Callithrix jacchus: one gene and its partners. The protein of the gene in region 2 purifies or fractionates together with the protein of the main gene of each other region. This does not show direct contact. Links are inferred from orthologs where the notes say so. Each region holds a gene or a part of one and is shown on either strand. Other genes may lie near its edges.

Evidence for each region. Proteins that work in one complex are often made in the same cells at the same time.
Region 1: the proteins of RPA3 (region 2) and PRPF19 purify together in Homo sapiens (affinity purification with western blotting; 3 studies listed by BioGRID, with this or other methods). This does not show direct contact. The link is inferred for Callithrix jacchus from reciprocal best matches to the Homo sapiens genes RPA3 and PRPF19.
Region 3: the proteins of RPA3 (region 2) and RFC1 purify together in Homo sapiens (affinity purification with mass spectrometry; 3 studies listed by BioGRID and IntAct, with this or other methods). This does not show direct contact. The link is inferred for Callithrix jacchus from reciprocal best matches to the Homo sapiens genes RPA3 and RFC1.

The regions. Positions count from the first base shown.
Region 1 is NC_133511.1:117,920,087-117,924,260, forward strand, and holds part of PRPF19 (pre-mRNA-processing factor 19), read right to left. Parts: intron 3,346-4,174; coding exon 3,190-3,345; intron 2,934-3,189; coding exon 2,864-2,933; intron 2,631-2,863; coding exon 2,545-2,630; intron 2,270-2,544; coding exon 2,099-2,269; intron 1,963-2,098; coding exon 1,857-1,962; intron 1-1,856. UniProt on the Homo sapiens protein: Ubiquitin-protein ligase which is a core component of several complexes mainly involved pre-mRNA splicing and DNA repair. Required for pre-mRNA splicing as component of the spliceosome.
Region 2 is NC_133512.1:51,152,703-51,157,339, forward strand, and holds the start of RPA3 (replication protein A 14 kDa subunit), read left to right. Parts: upstream 1-1,693; 5' UTR 1,694-1,744; coding exon 1,745-1,843; intron 1,844-3,059; coding exon 3,060-3,134; intron 3,135-4,197; coding exon 4,198-4,306; intron 4,307-4,637. UniProt on the Homo sapiens protein: As part of the heterotrimeric replication protein A complex (RPA/RP-A), binds and stabilizes single-stranded DNA intermediates that form during DNA replication or upon DNA stress.
Region 3 is NC_133504.1:154,497,138-154,501,311, reverse strand, and holds part of RFC1 (replication factor C subunit 1), read right to left. Parts: coding exon 4,150-4,174; intron 2,560-4,149; coding exon 2,471-2,559; intron 2,289-2,470; coding exon 2,151-2,288; intron 2,007-2,150; coding exon 1,911-2,006; intron 1,788-1,910; coding exon 1,689-1,787; intron 1-1,688. UniProt on the Homo sapiens protein: Subunit of the replication factor C (RFC) complex which acts during elongation of primed DNA templates by DNA polymerases delta and epsilon, and is necessary for ATP-dependent loading of proliferating cell nuclear antigen (PCNA) onto primed DNA.

The DNA of each region.
Region 1 (4,174 bases), on a different chromosome or scaffold from region 2:
AATTACAATAGCAACATCAAAGATCATTAATCAGAGATCACCATAACGGATACGTATCACGAAAAAGTTTGAAATGCTGTGAGAATTACCAAAATGTGACACACAGACACCAAGTGAATAGACACTGTTGGAAAAATGGCACTGACAGACCCACTTGGGGCAGGGCTGCCAAAAATCTTCCATTCACAAAAAACAAAGGATCCACAAAGCACAATAAAGCTGAGTGCAAAAAGACAAGGTATACCTATACTGTACTTTTTGGCATTATTTTAAGTATATTCTTTCTACTTACAAAAAAAAGTTAACTATAAAACAGCACCAGGCAGGCCCTTTCAAGAGGTATCCAGGAAGAAGGCATCATCAAAGGAGATGACAGGTCTATGCGTGTTAGTGCCCCCTGGGACCTTCCAGTGGGACAAGATGTGGAGGTAAAGACAGTGATGTTGGTGATATGGCTGTGCCCCCACTCAAAGCTCACGTTGAATTGTAGTGCCCATAATCCCGACATGTTGTGGGAGGAACCCGGTGGGAAGTAATTGAATTGTGGAGGTGGTTACTCCCATGCTGCTCTCAGGATACTGAGTTCTCAAGAGATCTGATGATTTTATAAGGGACTTTACCCCCTTTGCTCAGCATTTGTCTCTCCCGCTGCTGCTTTCCCTTCTACCATGATTGGAAGCTTCCTGAGGCCTCCCCAGTCACTGTGAGTCATTAAGCCTCTCGCCCTTATAAATTACCCAGTCTCAGGCAGTTCTTCATAACAGTGTGAGAACGGACTAATACAGCTGGTGTTCCTGACCCGTAGGCCTAGGCTAATGTGTGCTTGTATCTTAGTTTTTAACAGGAAAAAATTAAAAAGTAAAAATATTAGAAAACAGAAAAAAGCTTATAGAACAAGGATGTAAAGAGAGACAATATTTTTGTACAGCTGTACAATGTTTGCTTTAAGCTAAATGTTGTTACAAGAGTCAATTTTTTAAGTTTATAAAGTAAAAAAGTTAGCTAAGGCTAATTTATTACTGAAGAAAAAGCGTTTTATAAACTTAGTAGAACCGAAGTGTACTGTGTTTACAAAGTCTACAGCAGTCAGTGTATGGTAATGTCCTAGGCCTTCACATTCACTCACCACTCACTCACTGAAAGCCACTTCCAGTCCTGCAAGCTCCATTCATGGCAAGCACCATTTCCCAGTGCACCATTTTTTAACAATCTCTCATACCTTATTTTTAACTGAACCTTTTCTATGTTTAGATCTGTTTAGATACACAAATACTTACCATTGTGTTATAACTGTATTCAGTACATTTAATACACTGTACAGGTTTGTAGCCTAGGAGCAATAATAGACTCTACTAAGGTTATAGCACTAGCCTTGGTGTGTAGTAGGCCACACCACTAGGTATGTGTAAGTACACGCTATAATGGTTGCACATGGCGAAATGGCCTAACAAGATATTTCTCAGAACATATCCCCATTAAGGGATGTGACTGTATGATCTTCAATCATCTGACCCTCTGCAAGTCTAATGTTTTGTGGGACTCTCGTGCACAGAGAATTAAAATGGCTTTCCTCCTGTCACTCTGTCTAATGTCCATTTATTTCAGATTCAGTTAGCAAACCTTCAGAGGGAGGAGTCTTCTCTTCCTCCAGCAACCTGCCCAATGCCACAAGGCATGGAAGTGGCAGAGCTGGTACTAGCATTTACTGCCATGCAGTCTCAGTCTGCTTCCTTAGCTATAAAGCTCTGCCTTAGGTGGTAACCGAAAGCTGCTTAGGTAAATTCATGCAAGCCTTAGAGATTCCTAACCCAGTGAGGCTTCCCTCCAGGCCTGGGCACCTAGAGACCAGCCTCTACCTGTAAAGTGAAGAATCTCCGTCCATTGTTTGCAGATGTAGATCTGGACATCCGTGCCCCCAAGGGCCAGGTAGGTACCACTCTGGTCAAAGATCAGTGACTTTACCTGTTAGAAACAGAAAGGTCACACGAGGGGAACAGAAACTATGGGGCAATTGCAGATAAGCAGAAGCAATGAGATTAATTCAATAATCAACAAATAAGGAGGCACAATGGGAAGCTGGGGAGGGAGAGGGGCACACCTCGAAGTTGCTATCCAGCTGCAACGTCTTAAAGTTCTTAAGCTTGCGCAGATCCCAAAGCTTAACAGAGGAGTCATCAGCCGCTGTCGCCAGGTAGTAACCATTCTCAGAGAAGGCAATGCTGGTGATGGGGCCCGAGTGGCCAGGGAAGTTGGCCACATTGGTTCGTTCCTACAGTGGCGGTGGGGAGTAAAATATGTCACCCATACATCACGAGAGGAAGAAAATGGGGCTCAGCAAACTCCTACCTGAGATGTCCACCACTGTCCTTCCAGGAAGGACAGCCAGCAGGATGCCACCCAGACCACACCATCATATCACACATGCACAGCCAGTGTCTCTCCACCCTCAAGGCCAGGTGCCACAAGCACCCAATCAGCACTGCACTGTCACAGACGCTCCCTCCAGCCCGGGGCCTCAGATGGAGGCCTACCATGTTCTCCTACCTTCAAGTCCCAGATCTTGATCTGAGAGTCCATGGTTCCCGTTCCAAAGATGAGTCCGTCAGGGTGGAACTGTGCACAGGTGAGAGCTGTGGAAGAGGGAAGACAGACCTGTGATTAGAGCCCACCAGGGAGAGACTAAGAGCAGCAAAGGTAGGTTCCTTGTTCTTCACATTCGTCAGTGCACCCAGGACAAAGCCTGGCACTAGACAGGTGCTGGTGGTAAATGTATCTTTAGAACAAATAAGCAAATGACTAAATAAAACATAAAAATAAATGATAAACAGCAAACAAAAAGCTGAGTGTCTACAAGGCAACTTACAGCAGCCGGAGGTCTCATCTGTCACCTTGGTAAGCACACGCCCTGTTTGGATGTCAGAGAAAGCCCAGTACTGGAAAAAAAAAAAAGAGAGAGAGAGAGAGAGACGATGGAGTCAGAGAGAGAGTGGGTCCTAGGCTTTGGTGGCCCTTCAGGAAGGCAGAGCCCCTGGTTTCGCAAACCCTGGCAAACCTAGCACCTCCCAGCAGAGGAAACATTCCCCTTTGAGGTTCTGGGGAACCACCTGGGGTGGGAAGATGTTCCTGCCACCCAGGATGTTCAAGCTTGGGGACCAGCAGGCCTCTCCAGGGCACTGGCTGGGACCGCACCTGATCATCGGAGGAGCTCAGGAGATAGTCACCAGTGGCATGAAGGCTGAGGCCGGTCACAGCACTCTCATGGGCCCGAACCACCTGTACACAAGACGCATTGGGGACCGACCAAATCCTAATAGTGGCATCGGGGGAAGCAGAAAACACCAGGTCCTAAAAGGAAAACAAATATCAGAGAGTATCAGTCAGAAAAAGGATATAGATCCTAACAATCTTATAAAAGGGGGCTGGGGATGCCCACAACTACCAACAACTGCTTCTCCTTTCAGCCCTGCCCTCCCTGGAACCACCTACCCACCCAATGGTGCCCAAGACAGCCAGTGGTAAACGCTATTAAAATGGTAACTCATACAGCATCAGGACTTGTGTAGGAGGCCTCGCCATCTAGTGGTAAAAAGGCTAACTGCAACATAGAGCGATTTTCCCACCCCATTTCCAGGACCAGAGGAGGAAACATGTAGCTAGTACCATTGAGGGTTTAAATTTTTTATTCTATTTCATTGAAATTTAAATAGCCACATGTACCTAACTGGTACTGTACTGCATGGCACAGGTCTGAGCAGTACTGGGACTGTAAGGGGCTGCACAGTGGTATTTCAGCACATCCCACATTTATGGATTTCCACCGTAAGTTAATTTTCCAAAAAACTTGGGCAGGGAGAGAATTTCGTGTCACTTACCGATTTTTTTGTTTAGTTAGGACATTAAAAACCATGAGGTAAAAATAACTACCATCTTTTTTAGCAATACAATTTCATGAGACATAACTATTGACATCCCATAAGCAAGAAAATAGTGCTTTGGATTTGAATACATTCAGTCATGAAAAATTCACCATGGTATTCTTACATTTCTCATTTCCCTAAAGTCCAAGGGAGAGCTTGACTGGGAAGCACTAACCAACCACCGTCCTGCAGCCCTAAACCCAAACTGTCTTGGGCTTAAAATTCGAATCCCATAATATCATTCTTCTGGTCCCATG
Region 2 (4,637 bases):
GTACTCTCCTCTATATAATGCACATCAACTTACTTTGCAAAGCAATGCTAAAGTACAAAAGACTTAAGGCTTTATGCAGAAATATAAAATGGACTTTACTGACTTGCACCAATACAACCACAACTTTTTATACACCACTGATACACATTCTACATCTGTTTAACGAAATCATTTAAACTACTATTAGTGAGTAAAACTAAGAGAAACCTATTAAGTGCTAAGTTAACACTGAGGCAGACTATCATTTAATTATCGTACATCAGATTCCAATCTTAAATTGCCACGTTAATTCTCAAACCGGATCTTTTTTGCTTAGGGAATATGAACAATGACAATTCTGCAGCTTTGGGTAAACTCACAGACTCAGTTTCCACAACGTTATAACACCCAATTAAAACTTCTGTCCAAATTCCACAGCACCGTTTGAAGGTATGTTTATGTTTAGAATATTCATGGCAAGCCCGCCGGCTTCGGGTCACAAGATAGCCAGGGACAGATTGGTGACTACCTCCAAATCTCCCTGGAAAGGGTTATCTTCCAGACCTCCAGATCGCCCTCCAGAGTCTCGGGTTGTGGAGGACAACAACAGAAAGACTGCTGGGGGTGGGGTGGGGGATTTAAACTGTTGCGTCAAGCAAATGGCCAAAAGTTAAGAGTCAACTGGGACCTTGCAAATCATTCCGCCTAACCCTTTGTTTTGCAGACGGGGAAAATATGCCTCAGAAGGGGGAACCGTAGCTCGGGGAACACTAGTTCAGGGTATCAACGATTTGAGCTTGTCTTCTCTGGTCCTGGTCAGTGGTCCTTCTTCCCCATTACCCAATCTCAAGTGCTTCTACTGGCTGCCAAAACAGCGGGTAGTGGAGCGAGAGAACCGGCACCACCGCAGTGTAGCCAGGTTGTCTGGGCTAAAAAAAACAATAACAACAAAAAAAGTCTTAGAAGCAATCGGGCCAATCTCTCTTCTTACAGGTGGAGAAACTTAAGAAAGTAGAGTGACGCAGCTAAGGGAGTAAATCGATCCTCAGGCAACAAGTGGCAAAAGCCTGAAATTGATAAAGATCACTGACGACCCCCGCTCCCCATCTCCAAAGGAGCAAGTATCACAACCACCCCCGCGACCCCTCCCCACACCACATTTCATTCAGCAAAACTCCAGCGCCTCCCACCCAGAACCTAGGAGAGGGAAGGCGGAGCAACAGTAACAGCTGGTACGCAGCAACCACAGCACCACGGCAACAGCTGGTACCGACATCCCGCCTAGCTCTTTTGACTCTGTTAGCCGGAAGAATGAGGAAACAGTAAGGCTGCGGCGCCTCCCGCGAGAAGAGGTACCTGAGGCTCGTGCCGCAGTCCCGCGCTGCACCGGCACCGGAGCTCAACACCCCACTTCCGGGGTCAAATCAACGCGGAGAAGCCCGTGACCGCAGAAGGGGAGCCTGAGGTTCCGCCCCTATCCAAGCCCTACCTCCACTGCCGCTAGCCTGGGATCCGGCAACTTCCGGGACGCCGCGCGTCACTAAGCAGCCAATCTCCACTTCCGGACGCATCACGCCCCTTCCGCACCCCTTTCAGAGACGGCGCGACGGCGACGTAAGTTTCCGCGCATTTAATTGGCGAAGCTGGAGCGCTAGTCTTCGCTGATTAGTACAGAGAAATCTGCCCCATAGACACCCGCGGGGCTCACAGTTTTAGTTAGTCTTCCGTGGGTTTCCCGCCAGCCGCAGTCTTGGACCATATAATCATGGTGGATATGATGGAGTTGCCCAGGGCGCGCATGAACGTCAGCATGCTAACTCAGTTCATCGACAAGCCTGTCTGCTTCGTAGGGAGGCTGGAAAAGGTGTGCGGGTTCGTCGTCGTGTGCTCCGCTATCCGAGGCCGGAGGGAGGGACCCTTTGACCTCCTGGGTGGCGGATTTTGAGTGGATAACTGGGTAATGGGGGATGAAGGAGGATGGGAAGCCTCAGATCACTGCGCTTCCGAATCCTTTATTTTGCACAAGGAGTCATTTTGAAAATTGTTTAACCATTATAGCCCCATTTTGGCGCCTCTTTTATGGCAGGGAAACAAGGTGTTTTCAAATGCTTTGCGTTCTAAATTCCAATGTTCTTCGCCTCCATCCAGGCAGTGCTTATCTAAGGGAAACTATAGACACGACTCCCACATCTACCTTCAAATTTCTTAGTTTACTCAGACGTGATAGACGCCGTCAAAACTAATCTGCTTATTCCTTCTCTTCTGAAATCACTTCTTTTTGCAGACCTCGTTTCCTCGTTGTAATGGCTTCTTTGCAAAACCTGCCTTGATTGTCCGCTTTGAGTCCCGTAGTAGTGAGTTATCTAGCCCCACTATTAAAGTGAAGTCCCCTCATTCTACTGGAGAGAAACAGGCCCAAAGTCTTGGAATCAGAGACCTGAGAAGCTGGGGCCGGGGGGGGGGGGGGGGGAACTATTATATAAAGACTTAGTAGTAGCTCATTGCATCTACACATCCTCTTCCTTAAATGAGTGTTACTCTGACTTCACAAGTAGGGAAACTGAGTAGGAGTGATAGGTGGTTGACTCAAATGCTTCGAAACCCAGCAAGTGGCAAAGCTGGCATTCAAATGAGATCTCACAGCGCTCTTTACAGCTACTTGCCAGGAGTAGGACCCAGATATTCTAGCAACCAGTTCTCCGTTAACTTCATCATGCCTGATTTTTAAAACATAAACTCCATGGGTTGTGTACTGTCTAAATCATAATTGCCAGCAGGTTTCACTTTTAGCTAGGGCGGGCCTCCCTTTAATTTGTTATTGGAATAGGATTGCCATATTTAGCAAATGCAGAACCTACTTATACTACAAAACACATTCCTTGTTTGTCCGAACTTCCAAATTAACTGTGTGTCCCATGAACAGATTTGGTAATATAAGATTATAATTTGAACCAATAAATTGAATAGAATGAATAAACTGTTCAAAAAACGATTTGTGCTCAACTAAGGATCAATGTGCTCATCTTTTGTCAAACTTATTTGTTGTTTTAATGAGATTTTAATCATATGTTTCGTTTTAGATTCATCCCACCGGAAAAATGTTTATTCTTTCAGATGGAGAAGGAAAAAATGTAACCATCGAGTTGATGGAACCTGTATGTTTAAGTATTAATAGGTCTCATGTATATTATAGTTAATTCTTCAACTGGGTTTGGTTTGTTGTTGATGTTTCTAATTTTTGGAGTGGATGTAAAAAAGATGAGCTGGTGAAACATCCCTGGCTCTAAAATTAAATTCTTGTACTATTCTCTCATTATATTTCCTTTTACATTTGTAATCGATGGTTTTTATTGGGCTTCATGATTTTTGAACATGTCCCTTAAATGCTGGATAACAATTTTCATTCCTTATGAAAGGCCATAAAATTACATAAGAAAAATTTAAACTGCTTTTTTCTTCCTCAAGAGTTTTTTTGTTTTGAGACAGGGTCTCACTCTGTTGCCCCAGGTAGAATGCAGTGGCACCATCGTGGCTCACTGCAGCCTCAGCCTTCCACGATCAAGTTGCTCCCATCTCAGCCTCCCCAGTAGCTGGGACTTTAGGCATGCTCAATTGTGTCTAGTTAATTTTTTTTTTTTTTTTTTTTTGGTAGAGATGGCATCTCCCTATGTTACTCAGGCTTGTCTTGAACTCTTGGTCTCAAGCAACCATCCTCCTGCCTGGACTAACCCAGCAAGTGTTTTAAATTTTATTTTATTTTCTGTTTTTGTTTATATATTTCCAGTTTTTACTTACTTATTTTTTCATTTTATGTTTAATGTACTTAGAACTTTTTTGGTATTTTGTGAAGACAGATCCATATGATACTTGGTTATACAGTATACATTGTGAAATACAAATTATAGAAGGTTCTTCCTCTCAATAAGAAATTACTGCTTATAGAAATGCTGGACGTTTTCAATAAGTAATTTTGTCTTTAACTTGAATTGTAGCTTTGGATTTGAAGCTACTACTCATGGTAACAGGAATTTTAACATGCTCTCAGTTAAGTACTGAAACGTTTTTTAACCAGTTACATTTTAACTTTAGCACTGGTAATTTTTAAAATTACTTTCTTACTTGAATTGAAAGATTAGTAATCTGTATTAACAGTTTTCCAAATTAATTGTCAACTGAAAATGTGATAACAGTAAATTGATGTTTTGTTCCATGTCTTAGCTTGATGAAGAAATATCTGGAATTATAGAAGTGGTTGGAAAAGTAACCGCTAAGGCAACCATCATGTGTACATCTTTTGTCCAGTTTAAAGAAGATAACCATCCTTTTGGTAACTAAAGCATTCTAGTATTGACTGGTTTTATGTAATTAGCAGGAAAACAATTTTATTTTTAATTTTATATCTATTGGCCTAGCATTTAGTACTGTCATATTTTCAATTTCTATAGAATTTTCTGATCCTAAAGGAAAATGGGAATACGTTTTGTTTTGTCCTGCTTCTAAGTAGTGCTTATATATGTAAGAAACTCAGTACAGATTAATTAATATTTGTAGAAAGATAATTTTTAAATATAACAAATAAAATAATATTAGTCGTTTTGTTGTAATATATGAATTGAAGGAATGGAATAATCCATAACACCTAAAATACTACCAGGCAG
Region 3 (4,174 bases), on a different chromosome or scaffold from region 2:
GGGAGGCCAAAGTGGGCGGATCACTTGAGGTCAAGAGCTCCAGACCAGCCTGCCCAACATAGTAAAACCCCATCTGTACTAAAAATAAAAAATTGGCCAGATGTGGTGGCTGGTGCCTGTAATCCCAGCTACTCGGGAGGTTGAGGTAAGAGAATCACATGAACCCGGGAGGCAGAGGCTACAGTGAGCCAAGATCACACCACTGTACTGCAGCCTGGGTGACAGAGACTCAGACTCAAAAAAAAAAAAAAAAGACATGGAAGAACCTTATATGCTATTACTAAGTGAAAGAAGCCAATTGAAAAAGTCCACATGCTACGTGATTCCAACTATACCACATTCTGGAAAAGGCAAAATTATGGACACAGAAGGATCAGTGGTTGCCAGGAGTTGTAGAGAGGAAAGGAGGAAAGGAAGAATGAATAGGTAGAGCACAGAGGATTTTCAGGACAGTGAAACATGTATATAATGGTGAATACATGTCATTATATTTGTCAAAACCATACAATGTAAAACACCAAGAGGGAATGCTAATGTATACGATGAACTCTGGGTGATAATGAGGTATCCATGTAGTTTCATCGATTATAACAAATATACCACTTTGGTGGGGGATGTTGGTGGTGGGAGAGGCTATGCGTGTGAGGGGGACAGGAAGTATGTGAGAACTCTCTGTACCTTCCACTCAATTTTGTGTGAGCCTAAATTGCTCTAAAAAAATAAAGCGTAGGCCAGGCACAGTGTCTTATGCCTGTAATCCCAGCACTTTGGGACGCCTAGGCAGGTGGATCACAAGGTCAGGAGTTAAGACCATGGTGAAACCCCGTCTGTACTAAAAATACAAAAATTAGCTGGGTATGGTGGCACGTTCCTATAATCCCAGCTACTGGGGAAGCTGAAGCAGGATAACTGCTTGAACCAGGACCCAGGAGGCAGATGTTGCAGTGAGCTGAAATTGTGCCACTACACTCCAACCTGGGCTACAGAAGGAGACTCTGTTAGAAAGGAGGTGGGGAAGGGAGGGGATAGGGAAAGGAAGGAAGGAGGGAGGGAGGGAGGGAGGGGGGTATAGGCCAGAAGTGGTGGCTCACACCTGTAATCCAGCACTTTGGGGGCCACAGCAGGAGAATTGCTTGAGGCCAGGAATTCGAGACCAGTCAGGAAAACATAGTGAGACCTTGTCTCTACCAAAAATTTTTAAAATTTAAATAAATAAGAAAGTGTATTAACTTTTTTAGAATTTGCTTAATCATTGCTCTAATGACAAATTTTGATTAGCAACTAGGTAAAATACAACATAGAGGTAACTGATACAGACCTCTAGTTTCAGAGAGGCTATTAAACTAAACCATTTGACATGGATTATTCTGAACAGTGCAAAACCATTCCAAGCATTTGAAAGCCAAACATAAGGAACTCTGGAAAAGCCCAATTTATAACTATTGAAGCATGAGTATAATTTAAAATGTATCCCTTTCTCAAAATTGATAATAAACATTGACAATCTTCCAGAAAAAATTCATTTGAATTAGAAACACTTTTAGCAACTGTCTGTACTTCTTACTATAAATATCCCTGGATTCCATAGGCATATCAAGAAACTATATTAACTATTTCTATCCAGCTACCTAGAGAACAAGAAGTGTTTTGGCTTGGGAAAGTAACTAAGACATGGAAATTTATTTTACCATTTTGATATCCTTTTTGGCCCTGTGAGAATCAGCCTTGGCCTGGTCATAGGTTAATGCTTTACTTCGTGCACACCACATACTCAGATTATGTAAAACCTAGAAGAATCACAAGTAAGACAATGTCAAGATAGGAAAATCCCATTGTTCCCCATCTCTACAAGGTTGAAAGAATTAATTAAAAATAATCAGCAACTGTTACATAATATGTATTTAATTTACCTGTCTGATATCTTGATTGGCTCCCAAAATTATTTCATTCATAGCTGGAGGGGGAATCTTTAAACCTTCTTTAAATGCAATAGACATCATAGCACCCTGAGATCGACAAGGGAGGAATTTTCAGTGATTTTTTTTTAACTCATATAATCAGATATTTTTAAAATATTTATCAGGTACTTTTAAAAATTGACCCTTAAATAAATAGACTAATGTGAAGGAAAAAAATTTCAATCATCATACCTTAATCTGTTCAACCCGAGGTCTTTGAAAACGAAGATCAAAACAATAATGAACCAGAGAACGAATTTTGGGATGATTTCTATCATTGCACATACAAATAATGGGAATTTTAGTATGCTTTATCAGGCCAATTAATTCCTGAAAGGCAAGTTTGCAACACAAAAATAATTATTTAAAAAATGACAAGTACCACACATCGTATTTTAGGTTCTAAAAATCTCCTCAGCAACATGCCTTAACTGCTATAAATAGGAGAATGACAATGTTTTAATAATCTATATATCAATAATGAAACTGCAAAAATACACCACTTGGATTACCTGAATTCCTCCCCTATCCTCATTGCCTGCCATGCCATCTACTTCATCCATGATGACAGCATGCTTCGTGCTTACTGAAGAGGCTCCATCTGACCCAGGTTGAGGAGCAACGGGATGAGACAAAAACAAAATAACAATTGTTCAAAAACTGCTTTTCTGTAGAAAGTTAGATAAAACATATTAAACTTCAAACACTACAAGAATATGCAGTGTTGGACTAGAGTGTTGTTAAAGAAAAAACAAAATATGCAGTGAAGAGAAACTCTCCCTGCCACCCCTTCCACTGCAGACCCCAATTCCCTTCCCAGAGGCAAACAATAGTCTCTTATATGTCCCTAAAGAGATACACATAAGTGCATAAAAATATGCAACTGAGTTTTGTCATTTTTTTTTTTTTTTTGGAGATAGAGTTTTGCTCTTGTTGCCCAAGCTGGAGTGCAATGACACGATCTCAGCCCATTGCAACCTCTGCCTCCCAGGTTCAAGCGATTCTCTTGCCTCAGCCTCCAGAGTAGCTGAGATTACAGGTGCACACCACCACACCCAGCTAATTTTTGTATTTTTAGTGGAGACGAGTTTTCACCATGCTGGCCAGGCTAGTCTCGAACTCCTGACCTAAGGTAATCCGCCCACCTCAGCCTCCCAAAGTGCTGGGATTACAGGCATGAGCCACCATGCCCGGCCAGTTTTGTCATTTTTATGTATTTTGGTAATTCATACTTTATCTGTAGATATAGGACACATCATTTTTTTAAGGCAATTTAATATTCCATTCTACACTTGTATCACACTTTACTTAATCACTCTCTATTAATGAAATATATAGGATGCTTCCAGGCTTTTTTCTATCATACTAACTAGCTATCCTTATCTATATGGCATATATATATGCCACTATGCACATATAAAAGTATAATAAATGCTAAATTCCAGCAATTAGAATTTCTGGGCTAGAGGGTATATGTAATTTGAGAAATATTGCCAGACTACTCTCCAGAGTTGTACCAATTTACCCTCCCACTCGCCATGTCTAAGAGTGACATTTCCTGAGCAAATTATTTAGAACAATGTGAAGGCATCAAGAATTCAGGTGACAAAACAACACAGTATCGGCTCTAAATAGACCCTGTGTGGTCCTTCATTTGAGTATCTTATTTTCCATGAACTCAGTTACAACCTGAAACACAGTGGGCACTTGCACACTGTCTTCTCTTCTACTACTTTTGCCTGCAATAATCTCTTCCACCTCCAAATGGTTTTCTCTCATTCTTCAAGCTCTTTCCAAACAATTACCACCCCTTTAATTCAACGCCCCAAACATAATTACTACTTCGTCTGCTGGCCTTAATTCCTTACTCATCACACTGTATTACATACGGTTTGTTTATTTTCTTTCTCTGTTTACAGGATTCACCTGTGAATCCTCTAAAATCATATAAACAGCACATAAATATGTGCATGTGCACATTTTTATCATATTCTCAAAAACCTCTAAGACCTATGAAAGGGTACGATACTACCCCATAAGAGTGACATCTGAGGACTTTATTATTCTCTTGTTAGCCCCAGAATTTAATAGGGTGCTTGGCACACAACCTGTGTTCAATACTGGTTACTGAACATTGAAATGAACATATTTTTCTTACATAACAACAGCAGCTGTTCAAAAAGCCACATACTTGAATAAAAGCCTTTGATGCTGGT